4 linked regions of the Mytilus edulis genome follow. The protein of the gene in region 3 binds, or shares a complex with, the protein of the main gene of each other region. Links are inferred from orthologs where the notes say so. Each region holds a gene or a part of one and is shown on either strand. Other genes may lie near its edges.

The links.
Region 1: the proteins of mitochondrial import inner membrane translocase subunit Tim22-like (region 3) and mitochondrial import inner membrane translocase subunit Tim10-like are in contact, whole or in part, in a cryo-EM structure (PDB 7CGP), measured with the Homo sapiens proteins. The link is inferred for Mytilus edulis from reciprocal best matches to the Homo sapiens genes TIMM22 and TIMM10. Residues at the interface, in NP_037469.2 of Homo sapiens: Tyr25, Ser26, Leu28, Leu29, Gln30, Tyr31, Leu32, Val33, Arg40, Leu42, Leu47, Gly48, Glu67, Glu144, Ser145, Tyr146, Gly148, Ser150; in NP_036588.1 of Homo sapiens: Pro3, Ala6, Gln7, Leu9, Ala10, Ala11, Leu13, Glu14, Val15, Met17, Met18, Ala19, Tyr22, Ser44, Lys45, Gly46, Glu47, Arg53, His62, Glu63, Gly66, Leu69, Thr70, Ser73, Met74.
Region 2: the proteins of mitochondrial import inner membrane translocase subunit Tim22-like (region 3) and mitochondrial import inner membrane translocase subunit Tim9-like are in contact, whole or in part, in a cryo-EM structure (PDB 7CGP), measured with the Homo sapiens proteins. The link is inferred for Mytilus edulis from reciprocal best matches to the Homo sapiens genes TIMM22 and TIMM9. Residues at the interface, in NP_037469.2 of Homo sapiens: Asp35, Arg37, Gln38, Pro39, Arg40, Leu42, Gly45, Ser46, Leu47, Gly49, Ile50, Ser52, Pro53, Lys60; in NP_001291414.1 of Homo sapiens: Gln13, Glu16, Phe17, Thr20, Leu57, Thr60, Gln61, Met65, Phe67, His71, Gln74, Asn75, Leu78, Lys81.
Region 4: mitochondrial import inner membrane translocase subunit Tim22-like (region 3) and acylglycerol kinase, mitochondrial-like share a complex: the UniProt entries of both Homo sapiens proteins name them as parts of the TIM22 complex. The link is inferred for Mytilus edulis from reciprocal best matches to the Homo sapiens genes TIMM22 and AGK.

The regions. Positions count from the first base shown.
Region 1 is NC_092349.1:22,053,486-22,060,896, forward strand, and holds the start of mitochondrial import inner membrane translocase subunit Tim10-like, read left to right. Parts: upstream 1-4,408; 5' UTR 4,409-4,501; coding exon 4,502-4,584; intron 4,585-5,634; coding exon 5,635-5,842; 3' UTR 5,843-6,369; intron 6,370-7,411. Other genes in the region: TRAF-type zinc finger domain-containing protein 1-like, read right to left, coding at 4,017-4,063.
Region 2 is NC_092346.1:22,147,313-22,155,104, reverse strand, and holds the start of mitochondrial import inner membrane translocase subunit Tim9-like, read left to right. Parts: upstream 1-4,783; 5' UTR 4,784-4,892; intron 4,893-4,908; exon of another isoform or gene 4,909-4,933; intron 4,934-7,792. UniProt on the Homo sapiens protein: Mitochondrial intermembrane chaperone that participates in the import and insertion of multi-pass transmembrane proteins into the mitochondrial inner membrane.
Region 3 is NC_092349.1:81,526,930-81,534,327, forward strand, and holds the start of mitochondrial import inner membrane translocase subunit Tim22-like, read right to left. Parts: upstream 3,003-7,398; 5' UTR 2,973-3,002; coding exon 2,738-2,972; intron 1-2,737. UniProt on the Homo sapiens protein: Essential core component of the TIM22 complex, a complex that mediates the import and insertion of multi-pass transmembrane proteins into the mitochondrial inner membrane. In the TIM22 complex, it constitutes the voltage-activated and signal-gated channel.
Region 4 is NC_092344.1:79,052,165-79,060,105, reverse strand, and holds the start of acylglycerol kinase, mitochondrial-like, read left to right. Parts: upstream 1-4,920; 5' UTR 4,921-5,030; coding exon 5,031-5,140; intron 5,141-5,766; coding exon 5,767-5,806; intron 5,807-6,103; coding exon 6,104-6,183; intron 6,184-7,712; coding exon 7,713-7,788; intron 7,789-7,941. UniProt on the Homo sapiens protein: Lipid kinase that can phosphorylate both monoacylglycerol and diacylglycerol to form lysophosphatidic acid (LPA) and phosphatidic acid (PA), respectively. Does not phosphorylate sphingosine. Phosphorylates ceramide.

The sequences.
Region 1 (7,411 bases), about 59 Mb from region 3:
AAATAAAAATAGAAAATGACATCATAGTCATGTCTGGCAAATTTCCAACATATATTATCAACTACTATTCTATACAAAGAAAGATAACTCTAATTGAAAATTAATTGCTATTGCACAATATTGTGCAATTAGATATTTCTTGCTATTGTGCAATACTGTGCAATTGAAAATTTCTTGCTATTGCACAATACTTGATATGGAATCCTGATTTGGACCAACTTGAAAACTGGGCCCATAATCAAAAATCAAAGTACATATTTAGATAAAGCATATTAATAAGCCCAAGAATTTAATTTTTGTTAAAATCAAACTTAGTTTAATTTTGGACCCTTTGGACCTTAATGTAGACCAATTTGAAAACTGGACCAAAAATTAAGAATCTACATACACAGTTAGATTTGGCATATCAAAAACCCCAATTATTCAATTTTTAATGAAAACAAACAAAGTTTAATTTTGGACCCCAATTTGGACTAACTTGAAAACTAGGCCAATAATTAAAAATCTAAGTACATTTTTAAATTCAGCATATCAAAGAACCCCAAGGATTTAATTTTTGTTAAAATCAAACTAAGTTTAATTTTGGACCCTTTGGACCTTAATGTAGACCAATTTGAAAACGGGACCAAAAATTAAGAATCTACATACATAGTTAGATTCGGCATATCAAAGAACCCCAATTATTCAATTTTTGATGAAATCACACAAAGTTCAATTTTAGACCCTTTGGGCCCCTTATTCCTAAACTGTTAGGACCAAAACTCCCCAAATCAAACCCAACCTTCCTTTTATGGTCATAAACCTTGTGTTTAAATTTCATAGATTTCTATTTACTTATACTAAAGTTATGGTGCAAAAACCAAGAATAATGCTTATTTGGGCCCTTTTTTGGCCCTTAATTCCTAAACTGTTGGAACCAAAACTCCCAAAATCAATCCCAACCTTCCTTTTGTGATCATAAACCTTGTGTCAAAATTTCATAGATTTCTATTAACTTAAACTAAAGTTATAGTGCGAAAACCAAGAAAATGCTTATTTGGGCCCTTTTTGGCCCCTAATTCCTAAAATGTTGGGACCAAAACTCCCAAAATCAATACCAACCTTCCTTTTGTGGTCATAAACCTTGTGTTAAAATTTCATAGATTTCCATTCACTTTTACTCAAGTTAGAGTGCGAAAACTAAAAGTATTCGGACGCAGGACGACGACGACGACGACGACGCTGACGCCAACGTGATAGCAATATACGACGAAAAATTTTTCAAATTTTGCGGTCGTATAAAAAACAATACTTGCAATATGGTGACCTATAGTTGTTAATTTCTGTGCCATTTGGTCTCTTGCAGAGAGTTGTCTCATTGGCAATCAGACCCTATGATGGCTTATCTTCTTTTTATTGATTGCATTTGAATAAACTTTTTTCAACTTAAAAAACAAAACAGAATACAAATCCAATGAGTGTACAGGCCTATCAGATGGTGCCTCATGTTTAGAGTCTGGTGAGACTAGCATTGATGAAAACTAAAACCCAATTCCTGTGATATAACTAGTTTCGCAGTTGTACTTGACTCATATTTTTGAAAAATAAAAAGAAATACATCTAAGTCTGTTATAAATGTATTGTCTAAATTCGTTTTGCTCCTTTTAATAATCAACTAAAAATGTAAAAAGGTTATTTTTAATAATAAAAATTAGGACAAGTAACAATTTCATTCGGACAAGTGAATTTTGGTATGTACTTGTCCTACAGGACAAGTTGAAAAAAAAGTTATTGTAGAGGCCTGTATCATGTTATTTTATCTATTCTTAATTGCATATATAAACACTATTCTATTTCCTTTTTATCTTAATTGCCAAGCTATACATGTATATCTCGTGGATGTCATGTACAAAAATTGTATGTGGTACATGTACATGCTTATTAATCATCTGGACTGATTAATCATGCACAACAAGATTATGTTGTGCAATCAGCTGTCAATGTTAAAATTTCTTAAGGTGGTGCTCACACTATTAAATACATTTTTTGTACTAGCGGTGATGCCATAGCAAGTATTATGTCTGATCGATTGCCATTGACATGAGGTATAATGTATTCTGTATAAAATTTAGATTTATAAATCTATTGATTATTGCAGAATGGAGAACTGCATATTTACAAGGTGAATACAAACTTAGGTGGCAGAGGGAAATTCAAGTGTGCTGCAACGCCAGTCTTCATGATATGACACTACAGCTCAGGTGGATTTTGCTTTGTCCACTCCTCCACAGTTGGAGTGGGTACCGGGTGGGCAAAATTTCTAGCTTGTCCACTCTGCCCACCCATAGGAGTGAGCATGCAATTTCTTTTGTTTAATCAAAAGACTGGCAAGTACAGTCAATTGAAAAAAGCAGATAAGCACTTGTAATCACTATTTTTACAAAAAAAGAGATTATAGCTAGGGTGGGACTGTGGAAAAAGCAAAATCTACCCTGGCTGTTGTGTGATATGCCTTGAACCTTACTGGTTTGTCTATGAAAGCTTAAGTTTATAGCGTTTATCATGTTTATACAAAAATTTCTGAAGAATGGGATGTGGTCCTTAAAGTTAACTGTAAAAACTGCAACACCACTTATGGATCATGGTGAACCCTGTAAAAATGTAAGCCATGTCAGTCAACAATAAATAATTTTCCAATAATGCCAATTCATCTTTTTTCCTGGCTACAATGTAATTTGATGTCAGAGATCAAATATCTTTGTTACAATTTTGTCCTCATACATATTTTATCCCAAATATCCAAGGTCAACTGGTGTAGTTTATACAATTACATTGTTGGTCTCATTGACAAAAAAATGATTGAAGAGTTCATGTAAGCTATTGCGAGGTTGGCTTCTATTTTTTTTACACATGACACCTTAAAAAATCATTTTGCATGTAAAAGGGACATGGAGTCAGTCAGGACCTGTGAAATTATATTATATATGACAAAACAATAAGCAGGTTACAGGATCATAAACCCTCTCCCCACAAACTAGCCCTCCTGGCTCCGTAATTTGGTATCCGGTCATTCAAGCCCCAAACCTATCCGGCCCCAATTCAATCCGGCCCAAAGTCGATCCGTCCCAAGTCGATCCGGCCCCATAATAAAATAATGAATAATCTATATGGGCAAAATCAATTTGCGCATATTACAGTTTTGAAAGGGTATCTTTCTATTTTTTCTGATGGTATAAATTGCGGCACATTTACCGGTATCTTTTTTCTTTTTTTTTTTTCCTATATCACGTGCACACTTTCATGACTTTAGATTAAGCTGAACATCAAAATAAAGAAAACCCATCAACACATAAATTGATAAATTATAGAGTAGTTTTTCAGATGGAGATCTTGGGGAAAACTTTTTAAAAAAAAACAAAAGCTTAAACACACCAAACAAATAGATAACAACTGTCATATTCCTGACTTGGTACAGGCATTTTCTTGAAAACTTTTAAATAATAATAAATACCCACTTTACCAGAAATCCTAAAATTAGGTGTCGACTAAGTTAAGACTGATTTAGTAATAATTTACAAAATTTGAAATGTTGTTTATGTAACTATTTGTTATTACACAGGATGAAAGACTTGCAATTGAAAAAAACGGTAATCAATGCTGATGAACGTTGATTGTATTAAACTCTGTTATATATGTTTTTATTACTCAATAATGTTGAAAACTTGTAATGAAACTGTACATAATCAACATAGTTGTTTTAAACTCATCTAATGAAAATATTCCTCAAAGGCCAACTTTTTTTTACTGTACACCTTTTATAATCTTATTAATTTCATAAACATTTATCAGTGATTTACAATTCATATAATGCATGATGATATATCTTCATTATAATTTCTTATAAAAATATTTTTTTATTGGGGCCGGATCGACTTGGGACAGATAGACATGAAAGCAGTAATTTATAGTATTTCTTTTAAGGAAAACGTAATATTTACAAAATGAAATTATAAAATAAATATCCAGCAATAAATTACCAATTTTTGCAAAACTTTGTCTCCACATCTTGTGAATCTTCAGCCATGTTGATGTTTATGAAACTGAAAGTTGCTTGGTCACGTTACAAGAATGTTTTTATCATTACAAATTTGTCATTCAGAAATAATCAACCAATGATTCAAAATGAATCGCTAATTATCATTTAGTTTAACTAATTTAGACAACAGAGCAATATTCTGTTTTCGATGACAATAAAGAAACTACAAGGTGTTTCCCCTGATACAAAGACACTTGGGATAGAAACTGTAGCCTGGCTTGTCAACAAAATATTTTGACAGCTCTAATCTGCAATAGAACAACAACTGTGATTGGCTAATTATTTTAAGACGACGGTTTTGATTTGTTGGTGTAAGAGGCAAGTCCTCGCCATTTATTGTACTTCCGGTTTATCCGGCTACCTGCACGTGGAAACCCACTAACTATATTACAACATTTTTTTTAATTTGAAATATTCACATTTAAAATGGCAACGCCTTCTTTAAATGAAGCCCAGTTAAAGCTGGTTTCGGATTTAGAATTAGAAATGATGGCAGATATGTATAACAGGTGAATTGATAGACAGAAAGTGTATTTCTGAGATGTAACCAAAATTTGACCTTTGCCATGTTTATATTGTCAGTGTCAAAGACAAGTATCAGAGCACTGTACATAATACCAAGTTTTTGGTGGTGTTGGTGTTGCTCAGTCTTTAGTTGGTTTTTGTATTTTACTATGGACTTACAGAGTTAAATTTCTAACATGTCATGTGTCTAATAAACTACCCGCTCTATTTTACAAGGCATGTTGTTCTTGTGTTCTAGTCATAGATTGCAAAGGTGGCGTTTAGTTGACTGTACATTCGTGATCAGCTGTCAATGTTACAAAAAAATATGCTAGACAATCTCAATATGCAAGTGCAAAAGGAAAACTAAACGTAAACATCGCTCCGTCATAGTCATCAAGATAAACTATATCTTGTAGTACCTGTTATACACTTGCTTACCTGAATATCCATGCTTCTTTGTTGATTGATTACAAACGGGTGACAATTGTTAAACTTCAGCTTCACATCACGACTAATAATAAGCTGCCATATTTTCACAACAACACTGACAAATAGAATATTTTTTGACGATTAGACGAAACTTATGCTAACAAAATGATAAAATCGATCACAGAAGACTTAAGTTTATGATATATGTATGCATTGGTTCAAGAGTTGGATTAACATTATTTTCCACCGGTCACTATTTTCATATTACTTTAAAGTAATAAACATGATAAAGAAATTGATGGTCATCAGAAGTGATGAAACCAGCATTAATTTAAAAATAAATCATTTGATATAATTCAAAAACACTCTTAATTGAGGGGGCAATAGGGGGTCCGTTTACATGTTGACAACACCTCGATTTTGGCAAAAACATTTAGCAAAAAAGCTGATACAAACAAATAACAGCTTAAATTGATCTCAGATAACAGTTAAAAACACCTTGAAAAGGGCCATAACTGGTTAACACAAAAAGGTATCCCCCTCTTAATTTGTTCACTTTGCGTAACCCCACTATTATCTATAATAAATTAATAAATGTACAATATATATTTTCTGTGTTTTAGAATGACCACTGCCTGTCAGAAAAAATGTGTACCACCCAAGTATAACGAAGCAGATTTATCTAAAGGTGAATCAGTGTGTTTAGACAGATGTGTATCCAAGTACTTAGAAATGCACGATAATATAGGAAAGAAATTGACATCTATGTCCCAACAAGACGAGGCTACTGTGAAGAAAATCCAGGATCAAATGCAGCCCCAAAAATCTTAACATAAACTGTTTTAATAGTTGTGATATTACAATTAAAGTATTTATACAATGAAGAAATGAACAAGATACTAACAGGAGAAAGTGTAATCAGTACAAGGAAAAGCAGGCCATTGATAAAAAGATGAATTGACTCACTGTCATCAGCTGTTCTGTCATAGATTGCAAAGGTGGCGTTTAGTTGACTGTACATTCATGATCAGTTGTCAATATTTAAAAAATACACTAGACAATTAATATTAAATTTATTATGTTACTATTAATTCTTAAATTTTATAACTACATTCAGGAAGTTTTTCTAGTAAAAATTTCATTTTACTGGTTGAAATTTTATTTGGTTTTCTTAGAACATGAAAACCTAAGCCAACTGTGGTAAATAAGCATGATAAGTGCTAGATGAGATACATGTATTGTCACACTCTTGCCTTATTGAATGTTTCAGTCTAAACATTCTAAAATGACCATGACTAATCCAGTATGCTAACGATGATTTAGATTTTCATAGCCTCAAAAAAAATAATTTTTAGCATGTCTAAGGCCTAAAATAAAATTTCATTTGTTTGGCATTGCCGCCCAACCCACTGAAAAACTTGCCGCCCAAATAATTTTATTTGCGTTTCAGAAATTTATTTTTTTTTATTTAAAAACAATCGAAATTTTGCCGGAAATTGGTCGTATCTGCCGAGTTTGTTCCTGGCTTTACTTATTTCAAATCATGATCTGAAAAGCGTTTGCCTTACACTGTATTGGTAGCAAACATTTAAATGACATGGAATAGAAAAAGTCTGCCAAAAGTTAAATGTCAAAGAGGCTGACAGGGGAAGGCATCTCCCTATGCTGCAATGCATTGGTTAAGGGAGATGGATTTTATCAAAAATCAAATTTCAGCTATTCTTTGAAAGAAACGTTCTGAGAGACCTTGTAGAGGACTCAATTTTATCTTTTGTAAAGCAGAAACAGATGATTTCTGCTCGACTTTGTCGCTTCATGAGATAGAAGTTTTTCACCAGGACATCACAGAACAAATATGCGTGGCTCTTACATTTGTTGAACTTATTAAATATTTGAAATTTATCATTGACAAATTTTCCCTTGAACCAGAGAACAAAGTATCTACTATAGTCAGAACCACAATGATGCATTCAAGATAATTATGACTGTAAGCACCAAAGCTTACAGACCAAAATAATTTACAGGTTTATAGTAGTTTTGTACCAGAAGATGCTAGCCTGGAACAAAACATACATATTTTAAAGACTAGCATCTTGTGTCAATTGAAGTACTTCCCATTTTCTTGCCTTTCTTCATGAATAAGATGATTCTTAAAACATAAAAGATACTGACAGAAACATATTTATAAATGTATCCAGTGTACTAGTGATGAATAAAATCCCCTCCTTTTCCACAATTCTAAGGGCTCATTAATTTATCTGTATTCATGTAATGCATGTCCAGATTTCTGTTAATCAAACAAGCATTACAACTCATAATTTATTTATCTGCAAAAATTATCTGTCCTGCTGCATATTTCCATTTTGAATTTATCATACGTTTTAAACCTATCCCTGAAAA
Region 2 (7,792 bases), on a different chromosome or scaffold from region 3:
AAATTCAAAAGTGGACACGCAAGGACACAATACTATCTATGGTGCTTAGATACATTTTGAATGGATGGCCGTCAAAATGTCCAAATGAAGAAATAAGACCGTATCATAGTAGGAAAAATGAACTCAGTAGTCAGGACGGATGCATATTGTGGGGAGGAAGAGTAATTATACCACAACCAGGACGTGAAGCCATGTTAAATGAATTACACCAAGGACATCCAGGGATTACTAGAATGAAAAGTCTAGCAAGAAGCTACATATGGTGGCCGGGAATGGACAATGACTTGGAATTAACTGTAGTTAATTGTTATAGTTGTCAGGAAAACCGCAAGTTACCAGCAGAAGCACCGTTACATCCGTGGGAATATCCGAGCCATCCGTGGTCAAGAATACACATAGACTTTGCAGGACCATTCATGAACAAATCATTTCTAATTATGGTTGATGCGTATTCAAAATGGATAGACATACACGTAATGAATTCTACAACATCCGAAGCTACGATTGCAAAACTTGAACAAACGTTTGCAACACATGGATTATGTGATCTCATTATTAGTGATAATGGAGCCGCATTTACTAGCAAGGAATTCGCCGATTATGTGAAATCAAATGGAATTGAACATCGTACTTCCGCGCCGTGGCATCCAGCTAGTAATGGTTGTGCTGAACGAGCAGTTCAGAGTTTCAAAGAAGGTATGAAGAAAATCAAAGAAGGAACTGTCCAGGAAAAGTTGAACCGTTTTCTTTTTAACTACCGTATAACGCCACAAACAACGACAGGATTGGCACCATCAGAATTGCTTATGAAAAGGAAACTCAAGTCGCGTCTAGATTAAGTTTTTCCAAATATTGAGAAGCGAGTTCAGGAAAGACAACAAAAACAGAAACATTATCACGATAAGAAATCTGTGAACAGACAAATTAATGTAGGACAGGGAGTATTTGCCCGAAATTTCGCAATTGGTTCAAAGATTAAATGGATTCCAGGAGAAGTTATAAAACAATCAGGACCACTTTCATTTCATATTAAATTGCAAGATGGACGTGTCATTCGTAGACATATTGACCACATCAGAGTACGAAACTTCGATTGCACAAACAACGAAAATGAAGGAAAATGTGACAATGACAGTGATTTGTTTGAGCCAGAAATAACTATACCGATAAGTACTCCTGAGACCGAACAACCGCAAATCGATAAATCGTCAAACTTGACTGAACAAATGGAACCACGCTATCCGAAGAGAATAAGAAAAGAACCATCGCATTTAAAGGATTTTGTGTTGAAATAAATGGTTGATTTATAAAGAGGCATAATAATCCTCACAACCGTTTGAAGTGCATTAAGTACTTCGCAGTGTATGTGTGTACATATCAATTAGTGTAAGAAATAACAACAAGACCAGTGCGAACATTTTAATTTTTATTTTCATAGTAGGACATTATAGTTTCAGTGCAGACAAACTTTAACGAATGAATCTTTGTGATCTGACATTTTTATTTGTTTTCAAACTGATATGGACTTATCAATCAGTAGCCGTGAAAAGACATTAATTTTCTGTAATTGAGTTAATTTGTTTTTAATTTGTTTTTATCTAAGGCCGGAGAAGTGTTATAAAGTTCACCTCACTTTATTACCGTATCATCTGTTACAGTAATTATAATTGACAGATCAGCAACTCTCACATGTCTGCCCGTTCTTAAATAAACATGCAATTAAATAGATCAATTGAAGTTCTTATACACATGTTGTCATTCTGTAGTCTGACCATCAAACGATGTACTTGTTAATAAATTAGTTATAGAAACTGGATTGTATTATTACATAGCAAATATATTACAGTCCTCAATGCTCTTCAACTTCGTCCTCTATTTGGCCTTTTAAACATTTTTTAATTCGAGTGTCACTGATGAGACTTTTGTAGACGAAACCCGCGTATGGCGTAAATATTATATGTTATTCAGACCTGAATTACACATATATTACGGATTACGCCTGACTTAATGTTATTGTCCAGTGCAGGTATTTGTTGACAAAACATATATATTGAAAAACCCAACCTGATATGTTCGGCATACGTGAAGGATTTTCTAATTTTCTGTGAACATAATTTTATCGTGTATGTAATAATTTATAATAACACTTTTAACATCAAATTAAAGTATTAGAAGTGTTAATTGCGTGATTTTGTATCAAAAATGTATTATTGACTGAAGCACGTCATTATTTTCCCTCTGTGAACCTCTGACAGTCTGATAGCTTATGACTACGTCACATAGTAACCGGTTTTATGATGACGTTTTTGAGGTTCCAATTGGGGAAAAAAACGTCGTATATACCCCGGCAGTTTTCTGAATATATACTGACATCTCTGTATTGTTATCCAATCAGAAACCTCGACACATTTGTAATCCGTAATATAAATTTTTAATTCTGGTATCTATGATGAGTTTATTAGTTTAAGTACAGCTTGTTTGAAAATTATAATGAAAAAATATAGGTCACCAATGAGTTAAAAAAAGATATTTCAATTTTAATTGCAAAAAAGGCATTTTTGCACCAAAGGAAGATCATTTGGAGCTTTTTCAAAAATGAAAGCTACACTTTATAAGTCATCTGGGGCCCACACGAATTTTTTTTGGTATTTTTGATTTTTGTACAACATGATAAAGTAACAACTATACTAAAGGTAATAAATAAAATTTGTAATGAAAAATAAATGTTTATTTTTTTTGTAAATAAAGACTATTTTCATGACACAATTTGCTTATCAAATTTGCCGCTAGCATTTAAAAATGTTCTCATCTGAAACAATATATTGTTCCTAATACTTCTTTACTTTAAATGAATGTTTCTTAGGAATCTAGTTTATGAATTGTATCAACATGTTTTATCCACCAAGAAACATGGCCGCAATGGTCGAAAATAGACTATAGGGTTCATATACATGGTGTTTATATGGCGCTCGGTTTCTTCTTCAATGTATAAGCCTTTTGTTAGTATGAGTACCTCCATATTCCATATAGAGTATATTCCTAATATATTCAAAATTTTAAATCAATTATATGCAGGTCATATATAAATTTAACCAGGTGCTCTGCAGGTCGCAGCTTTATACGACCGCAGAAGTTGAACCCTGAACAGTTGGGGCAAGTATGGCCACAACATTTAAGATTGATACAGCTCTGACAGGGCCGTAACTAGACCCTTTTAAAAGTGAGGCGAAAAATCTTCGGCGAGGGGTCTGGGGCCGATTGAAAGGCCCGCCGAAGCTCTGAAAAAAAATGACGCAAAATCGTGCATTCTGAGCGTTTTCCGGACTCTTCTCTGACGCAATTAGTTTTTAGCTATTTTTTCGACAATACTCTGGTCTCAAAGCAAACTATATAGATTCAATGGAATTCAAGACTTTTAGGTTTATGGGGCAACATCAAAAGTTAGACCGATATGTAGGATAAAGCAACAATCGTAATTCTTAAAATCATTGAATACCGGATCTGTCTATTCTTGTCTTGTATTGTGTTTTGACTTTGTTGATTTTGTTTTATGACTGAATTTAGATATAGTGACAATGCAGTATTAATATATCATACTATACGTACCGCTTTAGTCGACACTATACATGCAGGGACGATCTTGACCTCAAGTTAAAAACAAACTAAATGTACTAGATTTACAAATGAAAATCAACACTTATTACTATAATCATAAAGTAGGACAATAAATGGACAAAAGACAAACCCGGGTACAGAAAAGACACATAACTAAAAACAATAGACCATAAGCTTTGAAAATAAAAGTAAATTAGAAACATGGGTCAGTCAAGAAAAACATGCAGGGGCGACATCAGAGAGTGAAGAGAAAGTGCTACTTGCAAGACATTCGCTGTGAAAAAAGAGTAGACAAGCTTTTGTTTCCACTTTTTTATTTTAAATTTCCGACATGAGGCATTTGCCTCATTTCCAATACGGACTGGCAATGATGTGAATACTAGGGCCAATATTTCCAATACGGATTGGCAATGAATCCTGAATTACATGCACAATTAATGTTTACATGTAATTCAGTATTCATTGCCAGTCCCAAGGATTTGTAAAGTTACTTAGACTTACTATACAAATCCTTGTCAGTCCGTAACGGAAATAATTGACCGGGCCGAAAAGCAATATCATGAATATAGATCACGTGAATTATATGACCAGTACTGAGAGTACACTATGTGTTATAGTAGTCTCAGACAGAATACAAAAAAAAAACGAAATTTATTAAAAAAAATTTACATTCTTAAAATATAATTGCAAATACATTTTTGTATCATTATTGGAGAATAACTTTATGCTTGTAAGCTTAGTTATTTGTATAACAATTGAAAAGAAACCTGTTAATTGTATCATAATCATACTATTGATGCGTGAAACATTTATATACAACTTTATTGCAAAAACAGAGTTCTTAACAGCAATTTGATTTTATAGCACTTCACTTTGGTTTTTAAAGGTATTGACGTGGGCAGGGACAAAGATATACAACGGGATTGCATCTTTTTTATAAGTGGTTTATCTATTTGTCATGAGTGGAGCCGTATTTCAGCGGGATTTTAACCCTTTTCATAAGGGGAGCATATTATTATAACTATTTGCAATGGGAGTTTACCCTTTTCATAAGTGGGGCGAGTTGGTAAACAAGAGTGGGGCGGTTTTTTAGAAAGTGGGGCGAGTTTGTGAAAAAATGGGGCGATTAGATGTGGGGAGATTTGCCAGTGGGGCGATTTGTCATGGATTACTCGCAGTTATTGGTGCTCCGTAAACGGAGCGATCTACGTTCATAAATACCTCATGACATTACCATTGGTTTCCCTCCCTCACTTATATTCTCTGTTATAACTCATGTAGGTTAAAAATCAGACAAAAATTGTCACTGAGACACATTGTAAATCATACCTTTTGTTTTACGAACAGTTACATATTCAATTTAGTTAAAAGTATTTTGTTGTTTAGACCAGGAATATACTGTTTCCAGGCTGTTCAATAAACATTGTTATATAAAAGATCATAAAATATGATATTTTATTGATAGGTACTGGCATGGAAATGTAACAATTATAATAAAAATATTATTGTTACATTGGAGAATAATTGCCGCAGTACAGGGTTGGGTAAGGATCCGATTAATTACGAATGTAACAATAAAAATTGAGGCTAAGGTTACTTTGCGATATTGTTACATTTGTACATTGATGCACTTAAGGTTCATGTGGACCCTATGGCTAAAATGGCCGTATTTTCACCTCAAAATTTTCTCTGAGTACAGGCAAACCTGTGCATCTGGAAAAGTTTTAAGGCATGGCATGCCCTAGATAAATAGAATTCAAATGCATTGTATGATTTAGAAAATTCATAACTTAACTGGATTTTGCCATACACTTTTTTTCGTCTCTGCAGAAGACGATAAAATTAACAAACAGTTGAGTTTACCTTGATATGGTTCACTCAGGTACACAGTTTAAATAACCAATTATTGTCGGGTATCTATTGTCCATCTAATGTCCATGTCAATTAAAAATGCTCACTTTAATTTTTACCTGTGGGGAAGTTCTCAAACCTGTTTCCCAACTTAGTTTATTTTGGCACCTTCTGGAGAAATGAAAAAAAGTGCACGGCAAAATCCTGGTAAGTTTTTACTTTTCTAAAACATAAAACATATTTAAAATTCATTTATCTAGGGCATGCTATGCCTGAATTTTTTTACAGATGCGCAGGTTTGTCTGTACTCCGAGTAAATTTTGAGGTGAAAATACGGCCATTTTAGCCATAGGGTCCACATGAACCTTAATGTATGCTAGATTTATTAAACTTCAACCTTCTAAACTTGTATACCTTATTTTTTCATCAATCTGTAATCTGTAATGTCTGTACAATCAAGGATTTGTATAGTAAGAATCCAATTAGAATGAAATTACTATCACAAATTATCTGGACTCTGAAAATGAAAACACTGATTCAACCACTTTCAATGTCATGTCAGCAAATGTTAAAAATCAATTGCCTTCGCAATTGACTAGTACTTAGCTGGATATGGAAATTGAGGGTGGTAAAGGTTGTTTTTTTGGTGGAACGTGATCACCGTTTTTTATTTCACGTTCAACATGTTTTTACTTGTTTATTTGACGTTCAGTTGTGCAAGACGGGTGCCTCGTTCAACGTTTTCTGCTTATTTAATTTTACATGCATCATGATTTTCAAAGTCTTATTTTGCGTGCTCGATATTTTTCAAATAAAATTCTAAGACTTGGCAGGGATCGTCAAGAAATACTTTTTTAAAAGCCATAAACCAATTATATCATAAATGTGTATTATAATTCGGGAATATCAAGTAAAACAAAGAGTTAATATATACAAGAAGACAGTGACTCAGTCACACAAGGTTCAAATAAAAGTATTTATTTTTCATGCAACGTTCATTACAGAAATTATTTCACGTTCAACGTGAAATTATGTCTTATTTCACGTTTTTTTCGTGCAAGCACCCCCTTTACCACCCTCAATAATGAACGGTAATGAAATCATTTTACAACCTCACATGCATACCTGTCAACTAACCCGTATTCTGCGGGTGTTACCCGAGATTTTCACAATTCTGAGGGATCACCCGGGACACCCGTCGGGTCATTGAATAACCCGGGAATTCCGAAAATGACTAGTTTTCACCCGTATTTCTTAGCCTTGAGATTGATTTCATAAGTAATATTCCTTTGAAATACCGGCAAATTCGTAATTGTTCCATGAACAGAAAGTTCATCTAGCTGTGTAAACTGTCAAATGAAGTGACCCATTAAGTGCATGGCTTCACTTAACAGCTTTGGTGTCAAACACACTGTTAATTAACACCAATTACCTTAGCTTAAGGTCGTAAATAAATTGCACTGTTGTTTTTACAAACATATTTCTACTAGAGTTACTTCCCCTTATTTGTCACCATTCAAAATTATTCCTTATATTTCCGTTTTTTTTTGGGAAAAGATTAAATCTTAGAAAAAATAAAATTCAAATACATATTGAAATATAACTTTTCATTATTTTTATACCTTTATACATGTTATACAATTTTGAAAAAAAAGTTGAAAATTATTTTGTACATCTATACTTCCTTTAACTGTATTACTATATTTTACTATCGTATAATTTCAATGAACAAGATGGATTGTAATGAATGATTAGGATGATGTGTTTGAAGGCTGAATAGCTGGTCTGAAACACTTTAAAATTACTCTTAAACTATATCCTGATGTTTGAGGGTAAAATAAAGAACACAAGACTGTGTTAAACAAATTTATAAAAAATCTTTAAAAGTGCAATGAAATAATAATTAATAAGATTTAAAATTACTTAACCAAGTAACTTTGATTTAAATTACAAGAAAAAAGTACCATAAATACTGAAATTCAGCTTGAAAAAGTTTGTACGCATTATGACCTGAGATTTGATTCTTCAATGCAGGTCATGACCTGCATTTTCATTGTCACAGGTTGACAGGTATGCACATGTTAAAGTTTAAATATCGCACCAAGGATATTTATATACAAATCCTTGATCGCAAGAGTAAAAAAATATATTTATCAGCTGAAGCATGACAGACATTGAAAGTGTCTTTAACTGCAAAACAGGATAGTAACATGGAATTTAGAGTATGAAATACTGACGTTCATATTGCTGCATCACTCGTTTGCGATGACTGCTAGGTTTCACCAAGATTCGTTGGACTAAGACATGCTCCCAAAAACAACATATT
Region 3 (7,398 bases):
CCCAAACCGGAATATGCATGAAGGGACAAGCAAGTTTACCCAAAATATATTGTTTACATAAAAATGGCAGCAAGTCAAGTGAAAATATGAAGGGGCTCTAGGGGGGACAAAACATAAAGTTACAGATGCCCTGGATTGAATATTACTGTAGGAATCACATCATTTGAATTGTAAATGAATTTATAATTGATCCATGTTATTTCAAAAGTTCTACTAAATATTTAATTAAAGTTTTTTTTTAAACCGGATTCCAAGAGCATCTTTTCAACCTCGATTCACCACTGTCATTCATCGTCTGCTATTAATTTCCAGTTAAGTTAAGATCAATCAAAATGTATATTTCCTGTAAAGCTCCTTTTAAGGTACATCTGTACATGTATAAAAACAAAATTATTTTAATTCTCAAGTGTTTTATTTTCATTAAAAAATCATTTCTGTAGCGTGTTATAGAGCACTGGTTGTTATCAAGCACTGGTCAGGTGAGTCTACATTTTGTAATCATCAATGTTGGAATGGGAGCAGGGTTTCCCCTGGGTCAATCATTTTTTTCGCCACCTCTTTCGCCAAAACAATATATTTTTCGCCACTTTATTATTTTTTTCGCCAAGTAACATAAATATATTTTTCCTGTTGTGCCCTTTTGTACTAAGAAGTAATTTTTACAACAAAACAAAAGCTTTTATCACATGAAATTGATCCCTCATTTCATGTGTAGTCATCACATTGAAGGGTTACTCTCATTCGAGGGGTTGTTCCCAGATTTTTTAATAGATTTTTTCATAACGACAGTTTTCTTTTCTTGACCATCGTAAATGAAAAAGTTGAGACGTACAACTATGCTTGAAACGTGCATGTGTCACTCAAACGACTTTACTAAAGTCAAAGGATAAAAGAATTTAAGTTTTAAATCGGAAATTTTTCTTGCTTTTGAACAATTTTCGTCACAACAACTGTCGAACTGAACAGCTTTCTTTTCAAAACTATCTTTAAAAGGAGAGATGTCAAAAGTTTGCTTCAAACACGTGCGTCGCAAAGATGTAAATAAATTCTGTATGTGACATTTATAGCGGAAGCCATTTGACCATATCATTTTGTGAAACAATTCAATCAACACCTTTATTAATTAGTCCTTTGTTGTCGATAGCTATAAAATGCAATCAGCTGATTATTGATTTTCTGTCTAAATCTTAATGAGGTCAAGGTGAATTCCGAGTATTGTCTGATCGGGTAAAGTCCGAGAAACTCGAAAAAAAGTAAATAAACAAGATGGAGGAAAATAAATCGGTTTATATATTTCTTTCGCCAAATTCTTTCGCAAATGACGAAATTTTATCGCCACAATTATTATTTTATCGCAAATTGCGAAAATGGCGACCGCCAGCGGAAACCCTGAATGGGAGCAAACATGACTTGGGGCTAACGGCCCCAGATTCACTGATTCTGTCATGACTGTAGCTTATAAGTCCTTATATTTTTTGAATTATCAGATGGACCTACTAATTTGTTTTATATTTTTAATGTCATATGAAAATTTGTAAAAATGAAGAAAAAAGGTTTGGTGACCTTTAGTCCGAAATTACTCTGACGTCCAACGACTGTTTTGCCAGACAAGCTGGGGCCGTGGGACGTCAGAGCTCGTCCCATATCAAAAAGTGGATATTTGCCCACCCAAAATAGATGCGCTGCTTCGTCGCTTCTGGTGCCGACTGACGGCCTTGGAATTATATAAATCGGGCATCAATCTGTTCATTTTTCATTTATCTTTTCATTTATGTAAGTTTCACCTACCTGCCAACCTTTATTTTTCCATATTTTAACAGTTTTCACAGAGACCCATCGATTTCTGCATTTTGCCTTTCATTTTCAAAGATTATCACGTGACCACGAGAAAACAGTGATGATTTATGCAAATGACCATAATGTAACACCTTGTTCATACACCTTATCGCTATTAGCCTTATCGGCCGGCTGACCCGGCCGCTTGAACTTTTGACGCATACAACAATCACTTTTCCATTGTGGCGTCCGATATTTTGTTTTATGACGTCAAAATTTTACGGGAACCTGTGTAATATCCAGTAATGGCGGACAAATAGCGATAAGGTGTATTTACGATGCAAGTTATCTAAATGTCCGAGAGCTTCCGATTGTTCTCGTGGTCGGAACTAAATGCTTAATACCGATCTCCTGTCAAGGAGGCGAAAAATCGTGGTTGGCTACTAAATGTTAAACATCAATCTCCTACAAAATTTGCATATTTGAGTCTCAAGGCCACGAACTCTCTCGTAACTTGACGTTCATTTGAAAGTGAAAGTCAAAATGCAGAAATCGATGGGTCTCTGTGAAAACTGTTAAAATATGAAAAAATAAAAGTTGGCAGGTAGGTGAAACTTACATAAATGAAAAGATAAATGAAAAATGAACAGATTGATGCCCGATTTTTATAATTCCAAGGCCGTCAGTCGGCACCAGAAGCGACGAAGCAGCGCATCTATTTTGGGTGGGCAAATATCCACTTTTTGATATGGGACGAGCTCTGTTGTCCCACGGCCCCAGCTTGTCTGGCAAAACAGCCGTTGGACGTCAGAGTAATCTCGGACTAGGTGACCTTGTACTGTCATGTTTATGCTGTTAGCACATTTTTCTGTAGTTTATTTCTTCAAACTTTGTCTCCATCACACAGGAACGACCAGCTTATATTATGATAAATCAAAAACTTCAGTATATCAAATTATACCTGCAACACAACTCGCGGAGGCTCTGAATGAACAACTTTCAAAAAATGCAGTAATGAATACTTCTTCTTTTGATTTTGGCATCTGAGGAGCAGTACCAAACGGCATAAAGAAGTTTCTAGGCTTCTTCTTTTCACCAATAACATTATCGACTATAAAACTAAAATTTTGAACGTCATTTGGAGTTAAAACTGGGATTTTATCAGTTCCAGTGTCCGTCGACATGGGCGCAGCCATGACAGTTATTGCATAAACTCAGGACCGTCTTGGCTGTGGACATGATAATTATCCGAAATTATATTTTAGGCACTCCATGGCTACTGTTACCCGCAAAAAAGTAACAATGAGAAAAAAAATATTGTAACTACCAAGACTTATCACAGAAACGCATTTCCAGACTGGAAACCGATTTCATTCCATTTCTTTTCCATTTTACAAACGCATGAGATGATTGTATATTTCGGCAGTTAACCGTAACGGTACCCAAATTGCAACGAGTACCCAAATTGCACCTATTTAGCAAAAATAGCAGCAGAAATCTTACAAGATCTCCTCGAGATAAAACAGTTTGTATTTTTATGATTTGATACTATAAATGTCTTTCAAAATAGGTAAATATCAGGGGCGGATGCAGGAATTTTCGAAAGGGGGGTGCTAACCCAGGGCACCCAGGGCAAAGGGGGGGGGGGGGGGGTGCAAAACATATGTCCCGATACAAATGCATTGATCGGCAAAAATAAAGGGGGTGCGCACCCCCGGAACCCCCCCCCCCCCCCCCCCTGGATCCGCCACTGAATATATTTAGACTTACACAAAACGTTCACAGTATTTATCAACAGATGAAGTGTTTTACTGAACATGTTGAAAAAGCAAAATGTACTGAAACGTCGCCGTGCGACGTCATCAAGTCATCAAAACGTCATCTTTTTAAAATAAGCAAATACAATATGTTTCAAGTATTCATTTCTTAAAAAAAGAAGAGTAAGCATGGACAAATATCCAATTGTTCAAAATATTTGAAAAAAATAAACAAAAACTCTGTTATTCGACTTTTGACGATGCGAATTTAAGCATGGATGCAATTTGGGTACTCCTCATTACAGAATCATTGATGGTTTTGAGGTTAGTTCAGCCCAATTTTTCTATGATTCCATATGAATTGAAAATCAAATTGGTGTACCTATATAGTAAAGAAGGATACGGCTACAAAATAAACACACAATGGAAACTTTTGTCTTAATCATAAAAAAACGTAGTTGAAAAAACTGTCAAAATAGGTGCAATTTGGGTACCGTCACGTTAAACATGTTATAGTCTCTGAAGTAGCAATAATTATATCTTATTTGCCAGTTACTTTTTCAAGCTAATCGTAGCCAGTGCCTATATATAATGGGTAGGACTAATACCTATTTACTAGGTTATTTTTCTCAGATAAAAAAGTATGATTAATTCCTTCCAACTCAGATCTTGCGGTTAAAATTATAGGTCTAGATAGAAAAAACAATAAACAAAAATAAAATGGTCATAGAGTTAAGTGTAAGTCAGTTTTAAAACGGCTTGTTATATTAAAACTAAAATAATTAGTAATGCAAGATACAAATAAAAAGTCCCACTGCAGCAACAGTAGTCATATTATATAGCAGCTCAACTTTCAACTGATCATGAAAACGGTGTAGAACCAAACAATCGAACAAAAAAACAGTAATACACGCTGAATTTATACATTTTATTCTCGGACCCGCCAATAAAAAGCCATTACAAATATTAAGGATATGCACGCTAATCAAATCAGGACTGCAGATTCCAATGTTCAGAGAATTGCACGATAGACGTCACCCCTTTTGTCTCTACCTTATCCGAAGTTTCACCAGAAGCGACCGAATATAATTCAAATTTGTGTATACCGTGCATGCTCTGAATAGCCTCAGGATTTTTATTTTGTATTGTTAATATGTATGTTTGTCAGAAACCTGTCAGCAAAACAATCTTATCAGTATTGCAATGTAAACTACTGTAACATTTATAAAACAGGCAAATTAACTGCTAATGATAGCCTTGGACTAGTATGTATACATGGTCATGATGGTATAATAGTAAGTCCTAGTAATCATGGTAATAGCTAAATATTATTTCTATATTTTGGTTTTATAAATGATTGAGGATTGATCATGTTGATGGCCTTAAAAAAAAGAAAGAAGATTGTTCAGTAGTTTTCGTTTGTTGATGTGGGTCATGAGTGTTTCTCGTTTTCCATTTTAATATAGATTAGACTTGGTTTTCTGTTTAAATGGTTTTACATTAGTCATTTTGGGGCCCTTTACAGCTTGCAGTTAGTTGTGAGCAAAGGCTCAGTTTTGAAGGCTGTACTTTGACCAATAATGGTTTATTTTTATACAAATTATGACTTGGATGAAGAGTTGTCTCATTGGCTTATATACCACATCATTCTTCTTTTATATCTTTTTGCACAAAGCACAGCCAAAGCCGACTTAGATCAATACAGTGCGCACATAAAACAGCCAAAACAGATGAAGATAGTTTGGCGATAAGTGAACACAACAGTTGTTCAGTTTAATCACTTATGTGGCTTAGAGTTCATTATTGTTGTGATAAACAAATGTTGCAAATTTATGACATTGTAGAAAATAATTTGCGAAGCGTGATCTTCAGGTTCATTTAAGTATATTAGAAAAAAAATATTATATTGAAACCAAGTATCATAATTAATCGGAACAAACAATATGAAAATTTCTTGATAGTTTATCAATCGCCTCTTTTAGATTGATGATATCAATTGTACATATCGTATACTTTTTTATTGTTCTATGAGAGTTTTCCGAATTTAAAGTGTTCAGAAATAAAGATATTCATTAGGGACGTCATCAAAAGATCGATGTAGGATAAAAAAAAACTTAAATCAAATAGTTTTGGGGTGGGGTGGGGGTGAGGGTCAACATGGCTGCAAGTTTTGTTAATCCAAAATCGATTTTACATATATATATATATCCATATAGGTAAATCAATTTTTCCCAAATTAAGTTAAGAGGAGGGGGTGGGAGGGGTCAGTGAAAAAAACTATGTGAATTAAGTTGTTTTTTTTTATCCTACATTGAACTTTTGATGTCGTCCCGTAAGCAAATCTGATGACCGAACTCTGATCACGAAATTGGATTTGTTTCATTGTCTACTCATAGGTCATATTAATTACTGTTTAAATGATTTAGCTACCAAAAGAGAACAGGTCTATGGTTTAAAAAAATTGAAACGATACCTTTGATTACTTTTTAAAATTACGTCACTCTAGAGGTATATAAAGGATGTACTTTGAGAAAAACATAACTGACTTGATCAACAGAAACAGGAAAACAAATTATTTTTGTGTTTTTACAAGATTTTCATTTACCTACTGATAACCATATACTTTTTTGTTAGTTACTGTTGACATTGAACTAGATTTTAATAACTGCCAGTGCATTAAGCTTGTACGTGGTGTCTTTGGTGCCTTTGGTATTTGTTCTTTTGCTTTATATCGATCTGATGAGTTATAAGACCTTTTCCACTGATTTGTATAGTTTGTTATTATTTTATACCACTTTCTAGAGTAGATAGACACCAAAGTCTAGGATTATAATTTAATACGCCATATACGCGTTTCGTCTCCAAAAGACCCATCAGTGACGCTCTAATCAAAAAATGTTTATAGGGCCAAATAAAGTACAAAGTTGAAGAGCATTGAGGACAAAAAATTCCTAAAAGGTTTGCCAAATACGGCTGAGGTAATATATGCCGTACGTTGTGTCTTTGATAGTTGTACTTTTGCTTTATATCGTTCTGATGAGTTGTGAGACCTTTTCAACTGATTTATAAAGTTTGTTATAACAATTTCCAAGTTAGTTAAGGTGCGAGGCACTGCAGTGGTTGTCATTTATTGCTGTATATATTGGTTTCTCGGTTATTGTTGTGTACATAAAAAAACATTACAGCATTTTGATATTGTAATGAAAGACGTTTATTACTAATTACTAATCTCATTTTCTACTTGTTTTTGAAGGACAGACTGAGAAATAAAGATATTATTAGTCCTGGATTTCTCTTGTTCGGTTGTTGGTGGGTTTTTTTTTTTGGTTTTTTTTGTGTGTGTGCAGGATATAAAGTGTACGTTTCCACGTCCGGTCGGAACGGGGACGTTAAATCCGATGCCTCGTGTAAGATTTATAGTTATCAAAGGTACCAGGCTTATAATTTGATACGCAAGACGCGCGTTTCGTCTACATAAGACTCATCAGTGACGCTTAGATCAAACTAGTTAGAAAGCCAAACAAGTATAAAGTTGAAGAGCATGAAGGACACAAAATTCCATGAAGTTGTGCCAAATACGGCTGAGGTAGTATATGCCTTGGATAAGAAAATCCTTATTGTTTCGAATAATTCATGCTTTTGCAAACAGTTAATTTATTTTAAAAAAAATACCATATAATTGATTTTCATATCAACACCGAAGTGCTTACTATAAGCCTGGTGAAACCCTTGATGCCACACCCTTCTCAAGGTAACGAACTCTTGCAACATTTTTTTTATAGGTGTCCGTAGGGGACATGTCTTAAATCCAACCATTCTAATGTATCGTTTCCAATGTCTATCTAAAACTCAAACCCTTCATTAC
Region 4 (7,941 bases), on a different chromosome or scaffold from region 3:
CAGATAAACATAATATGAGTACTTGTATACTGAAGCACATGTTTCCAGATAAAAATCTGTTATAAGTATTTCCTTTATCTAAGTTGAAATATATTAGTTACTATAATTATTATTTTTGACCTGTCCAATTGACTACTGTTTATAAATAACTTCAGCCCACATCCGTCCACATATTTACAGCTCGCCTTATTGGACCTAACCGTGGACCGTGTACCAAGGCCCAGAAAAGCAATGAATGGTATGGGCTCCAACGAAACCCACTTATTATTTGATCAAATCGATAACGAGGTCCATATACCGGAATAACAAGAAGAGCAAGGCGACTTATATTGTACTGCAAACTCCTGTCTTGATACCAGCACAAACGGGTATAGGCAGGGTATGCGTGAATGTTTGTCTTCGGTGATTCAGGGGAACAAATATGTATCACTTCATAGAAAAGAAAAGCCGTATGAAAGGTAATTGAAAGGAACTTAATAGTTGTTTGGTCTTGTATTTTCTTGTAAGTTAGATGACCTAATATTATGAATTTATTTACTACATGTATATCCTTTATTTTCGTTTAAATGACTCTAACGAAACACAGGAAAAACTGTTAGTATATATCATTAGTTATTGACCTTGTTTCCTTATTGGAATTAATGTGACTAAGTTCAAAATAGTTATGTTAACGCCAATGTACGTTCGGATACAAAAATGGAGATGTATATGATGACAAAATATATAAGAAAGATTCCGAGAACAAAGCATCGATTGTGGAATAGTTGCCAACACAAGATGCCCTATCATATTGTAGTAGATATAGTTGTCTTTGCTTTACTATTGGAACCATTACAATCAACAACATAAATAATAAAAATCACAATGCCATTATGCTACAGTGATTTCCGGACCTTTTCAATGATATGTTTGGTGGTTTTGGAGGAGTTTCGAATACAATGTCCCTACCCACTTTTGTCGTGCTTAATGACTGGGTCAGTTAATAAATGGACCGAGTTTGCATTTTAATTCAGTGCTGAAAGGTCAGTTGTATATATTTTATGCATTTTCATATGACTTAATATGAGCATTGCAAATTATTTTCAAGGTTATTTGTTGTGGCAATTTCAAATATTGGGAATATTAGGAATATGGTACCATTACCAAGTTACTTAATTGCCGCGAATAAGCTTAAATTTAGACTTGAAATTTAGATATAAAAAAATGTGGTAAGATTTCCAATGAGACAACTCTCCACAAGAGACCAAATGACACATAAATTAACAGGTATGGGTCACCATACGGTCTTCAACAATGAGCAAAGCTCATATCATTTAGAATATACATTTAGCAACTGATATATATATAGTATTGTCTAGAACTCATACCTCAATACATCCATTCAACCGGTATCTTGCATACACTACCCAAAATGAAATTAACTACCATACAAAAATTGTGAAGCTAGACATACTGTTCAGAATAATACCTAGGAATCATTCATGATATTTGAATATCCAAACTGTGAGTATATTCATAAAGATGATTTTACAATAACTCTTTATATACAAACTCGGAATATCAGAGAACTCTCCCTTTTCTCAATGTGGTAGTTTTTGTAGACTCAAATTAAGATATGCCAATATTCCAAGTTCATAGACTGACAACCATTCATCAGACTTTCTGTCGAATTCCACTATTTCGTAATGAAATTGACAAAAGATATCCAGTAAAACTCGAGTTTTCTGTAAACGAATGTCATCCTCTCTATAATATAGAAACGTGTCGGTGTCCTAAAATGACCAGTCTCAGGACAGCGTCCATAAAAGGACAGGATAATTGAACAATTACATTGAATGACTTTACTGATAAAATTGTTAAGTGTCATTTAAGATCAAAAGATCGACTCAACATTTATGTAAGCTAAGTACTGGTGGATTTGTCACTTCACACAATAGTGACAAGTATACTTACTTAATGTACCAACCAATTATCAAAACATTTCCATTGATAATATTGTTAGATACTAAAAGTGAAACTAGTTCAATTCATCATGTAGCGCACATCTTAAATGAAATGTTGATCAAGATTCATAGTTTTACAGTTTTCCTGCGTATACTTCGAGACACTGACAATATCAATCTGTAATTTTTAAATGTTGAATCAAATCATAAATGTATACAGAAAGTTCTTATCTACAATACTGTTTACTTCTCTATGTATTTACATCAGAAATAAAGAAAAAGAGCGTTCTGAGGGCATGTAAAGTCACATGTAACAGTTGTCACTGGACGTTATAAAGCATGATATGACTTCAACATTCGAACAATCACTAAACTCAGCAGAAAGTCAAAAACACGAGGAGACAACAAAAAAATATTTTAGCCTTTAAAATTGAAGTATGAGAGTCTTCTTATTTAAAAAAAAAAACTTTTTTAATTGTCACCAGGAGAAGAAAAGCTGAAGTTTTTCTCAGTTCCTATTGGTTTTAGATTGTTATGTTTGCTTATTGTTTCTATCTTAAAATACAATTTCTGGTCGGAAATATAATAACGTTAGTAGTACTTATTTAAATTGCACAAGAGCGCATTTTGACGATCAATGTCTCAATGTCAGAGATTAACTGCAACATTGGCGCATGGGATTAAAAAATCAGCAATCTAGATCATGTTCTCTTGAATATTAGATTGATTTTAATGCAACAGATCATGAATATTGGACGGACAAGTTTCTGGAGCCGCATTTTCTAACAGCAAAAAGTGCAGCAAATTAAATTTTAATCTAAAAATGGGTGAACACTAAATGCTTTCTAAAATTATCATCAATGTAAGTAAATAAAGACAGCTAATCACTTCCTATACAAGATTAAAACTGGCCATACGACCCAAATTTGATATGATCTGAAATCATCTTAGGATAAACTATAAAGGTCAAATTACATATAAAGCAGATAGTAAATTTATATCAGCTGATAAACAAATTCATATATCTACATTAGATATATTTATAAACGTGTGTAGAATTTTAATGATGATTTCAGCGTTCATGGTGCGACTAAGCTCATGGCACAAAAGCTGTTAAATATGAACCATATGACAAATAATTAAAACGTTCTGCTTATAATTAAAACCGGTCAGCCACCCAGTCTCTCCGATAAATGACCGGGACATTAGCCTTTTTCGTTTGGTATATAAGAATGGTGCTGACGCCAACCAGATCTACACTTACCTATTATAAGACTTATCAGTGTTAGTCCTATCAGAGACATATAATTGTCTCTGGTCCTATGGTATCATGTGAAACCATAATTGCTGGCCGCATCATGCATGCTCGGTCTATCTATTCACGGATATTTCCATGAAAGCTACCTCGACTCTTCATCTCAACGGAATATTATACCGTTCTGATAAGTTTTAATTCATATGATCATTTATATTGAAGTTTTCTTCTTTAGTCAGTCCAAACAATATTTATTTGCCAAAAAAACAACAACAATGAAATATATTTTATAGTTTTTTTCATACTGTGTTGTTACATCACTGTACAAGGTTATAAAAGTTAGGATTGAGTCCTCTAATACGTTTTTACTCCACTACATTTTTATGTGCCTTTCCCAAGTCAGGAGTCCGTAAATAAATTCAGAGCTTGTCGTCATTGTTTTGTTATAAGTCAAGCTGGTTTACATACATATGTTCCTTTTAAGTATGTGCAGTACGAATCCTGTTTTAATATTTGCTTGCATATGTTCTGTGGTCTATTTTACGGCTTATTGAATTGTTTTATGCAAGTCTTGTATCACTTAATATTCTTGCATGATAACGGATGTACATTTCGTTTGCTTCAATTTTCAAATTTATCCTTTTTAATCTAATAGAGCATACTAATTCTTGCATCTTTTCGTCTTTGTGTTAAAGATCTCCATATCATATATCGGGCTGCTCGTATTTATACCACCAAAGGTCCTCGGTGTTTCTCAAATCTCATTTCTTATATAGATTAGACAGTTGGTTTTCCTATTTGAATGTTTTTTTACATTAGTCATTTTTGTGGTCATTTATAGATCTTTATAGCTTGCTGATCGGTGTGAGCCAATGCTTTATGTTCAGAGAAGGTCGTACTTAGACCCGGGGCTACAATGGTTTACTTTAAAAAAAATTATGACTTGGATCGAGAGTTGTCTCGTTGGCACACAACTTCTTACTTCTAATTACCTTTCGTTTTAGATCCCGATTGTATTATTGACTTTAGTACATATGTTATATTGGTGAACATAGTCATTTCATTTGAGTTCGGTGTTCTCGATAGCTTCTTTAGTTTATGCTTATATATATGTGTACTCTGTCTCTATTTTTTCAGTTCTTCGTATCATGATTATGTATGACAATATTTCTATAGACCATTCCCGAACAGCTTTTAGAAGATTTGAACCTGAGACTATACCATCATCATACGGATTCAAGATGTTTATTAGCCGTAATCAAGGACTCTCAATGGGTATACACTAAAAAGTTAACAATTTCACATTGTTTGTAGGCTTCTTTTTTTATATTTATTTTATTTTATAGTATAACAAAACTATAAAAGATATAGTTAGTTAGTGCGCATATAACTGTACAAAACGGGAAATATAAATATGACACTGGTATATTCTGATACAACTATACAGTCCATTCTTTTAATGTGTTTGAGCTTTTAATTTTGAATTTTTCTTGGAGCTCAGTATTTTTATGATTATTTTTTTATATTAAATCGAAACAATTCCATAAATGATACTACATTAATATTAACACTTATTTTTCAAGATTATATTGGTACTTTTAGTTATTTTACGGAATCCTCAGATGAATCCGACAACGGTTAAAAACATGGATTTATACATTCATAACATCCTTGTCTGCAGTGCGTTTGGCCAAATATAGTCATGATCAATATTGTTAAAGATATAAATTGACTTCGTTGTAAACATGTGCAATTTTTGTTTGTAGGTTGTCAATAATCTTTTCTAACATCACCACAGTCATAAATGCATTTAATTCGTAGACAATAGGTCAATGGCCTTCATAGTTAAAACGGTAAAAACCGTTCGAAACAATTGGAAGAAATCGTTAGCTGCTGGTGTTGCTGTGTATTTTGTTGGAAGATTTGCAGCTCGAAAATATAAGTGAGTTTCCAATTGAAGGTCGTGATACTCTCTTGGCTCTGCATCTTATCGGCCAATAAAAACTGATCACCACAAAATTACACAATAATGTTGAAAGTGGCCTTTAAAACAGTAAATGGATCAACTTCATCAAAAGTCATCCACAATATTTCATTTCTGGAATCATGCCTTTCACCAAAAAAAAGATCATCAATTTTGCAGACCTTTATAACGCTATTTATTAAATATAAGGCACACTTATACTACATAAACACGAAAATATTAAGATTTACCAGAAAAAGAAAAAAAAAGGGACTTTGGAAAAAAGGGAGAGGGCTTTAAGTACCTATGACTTTTTATACCTTTTTCTGAAATTCTCCACACCATGATAAAATCTTTTACAGAAATTCATTCTACAACAGTTTTACATACTTTCAACCAAGCTCTAGATGCCAGTGATTTCGTGTGTTTGTTCTAGTTGAATCTAAACAAGGAGATAAAAAGACAATATTTTTTTCATTAGATAGTCAATGAATAAAAGTACTACTGTTTATATAAAAGTATAATCTGACTTCAGAAAAATAAAAAAAAAGTGGAATACAAAAAATCTCTATTTAAGTAATACATGTATTTCTTTATTTTTTCAGTGAAGATTTATTGAGAAGAGAGTTTTGTAAAGAAGCAAAGGTAGGAACTTTATTTGTGGAGGAAACCGGAGTTCCCAGAGAAATCCACTGACCTTGGATAGGAAACTGACAATCCTAGTCAATTAAGATTGGAGTTAAGTCACACTTGATTGCACCTGAACGAGCTAGGTTTGAACTCGCAACCTCAGTGTTGACTGGCTAGTGATTATTGTAGGAACTACTTAGACAGCCACTGAGGCTTTTCATTAATTTTTTATAATTTTTTATAAGTTAACACAGATATATTTTATTTGAGATCTAATTAATAATTGTAACACATCCATTTGTTTATTTACAGAAATATGGAAAAGTAAAAATAGGTGTGACAGATAAACCAAGAAGAATTATAGTGTTTTTGAACCCAGCTTCTGCATCAGGGTATTTATATTATGATTTTTAATGGGTAACAGTTTATTTTTCATTGATTCTGTACCGTTACTTTTCTTGATATTAAATCTTGACTGAACTTGGATTTCTGAAATGTAGACATCAATTTCTTTTCATTTTTAAATCACTTATGTCAAAGTTCAGATAATAAAAAACCATGTGTGCATAAATTGGTCACAGCTTTAAACATTAAGTGACAAGTACAAGTGGATGGTGCCCTTTAAATGACAATAAGCCATAACTTGGTTATAGGTCTTAATGCCAATTTGCAAAGCACCAGCTTGAATAGAAATAACAGTAACTAAAAAAATCTTAATAAATTACCTTTTAAGGGGGCTCACAGGTCTTAATCAAATTTTTTAATTAATATAGGATTTCGCTTTATTTTTCTATAAATGAACTTTATCTTATACCTAATAGAAAAATGAAATAAAAAAATGGGGTCACCGTTCATTTACTCTCACAATCTGCCTTCGAAAGAAGCATAGATTTTTGTAAAGGTACTTTTTTCTGTTGAACTAATAAGAGAAATAGAGGTAATATCGAAATAAAAAAAAATTGTTGTTACAGAAATTGCTCAAATTTTACAATAGTTAAGTTTAAGTACAGCTTATTTGAAAATTATATAAAAAAAAAAAATAGGTCACCCATGAGTTAAAAAAGATATTTCAATTTTAATGCCAAAAATTGGAATTTTTGCACCAAAGTGAGATAATTTGGAGCTTTTCCAATGATATCAACATTTTAAAAGTCATCTGGGGCCAACACAACTTGATTTTTTTGAATGATTTATGTACCATATGATAAAGTTACAACCACTAAAGGTAAGAAATAAGATTTGTAGTAAAAAATAAATGTTTAATTTTTTTCTGAAATTTTTATACCCTCCTTTATACCAGTTTTCATGAGATAAAAGAAATTTTGGTCCATATCGCTCTCTAAACTACAGCTGAACAAACATAGTGGAATTCAGGACAAAACCACAACCAAAGAGCAAAAATCAGCCTATAGAGGCCTCCAATGGGTCTTCAAAGTAGTGAGAACATCCTACATCACAGGCCAACATTAGTTTAAATATATAAATTTTGAGTTTCCATTCAGCTAAGTTATATCAACACACAGAGATCACGTCTTTTGTTATTGTCAACATTATATACCTTGTCCATGTTAATTAGAAACTCCCTGCAAAACATTTTCCCACATCTCATTACACTAGAACTGATTCTTTTATAGGACAAGGGGTTGTGCACCTGCAATTTAAATTTATTTAGAGCAGCTTTACAGAATTCCAACAAACTTGCACAGAATTTTTATTGGAAATAAAGTTTTAAGCTTGCTATTTTATCTTTTGCTTTTAGCAATTTTTTGGGATTCGATTTAAAAAAAAATTGGGGATTCCATTCCTGTACCAAATCACAGACTACACAGTTTCTTTCTATTTTACCTTACTTTTAGATGGTAGATGATACACATCTTTGGAACATGTTCACTTTTTTGTAATAATATTATTTTATTTATAGAGGAGCCGTGAAATCTTTCAATAAGAATGCTGCACCAATATTACATTTAGCAGGAATAGAAGTTAATGTAGTAAAGGTATGTTATTAAATTGTATTGTTTTCACAGAGTATGATTATATGGTTGATTGATTTTAAAAGGGTCACCATTAAACCCTTATCTGGTTTAAAACACATGTAAAAACTCTGGTATATAACAGTTAAATTCGTCCAAATGCAATACCATTTGTTC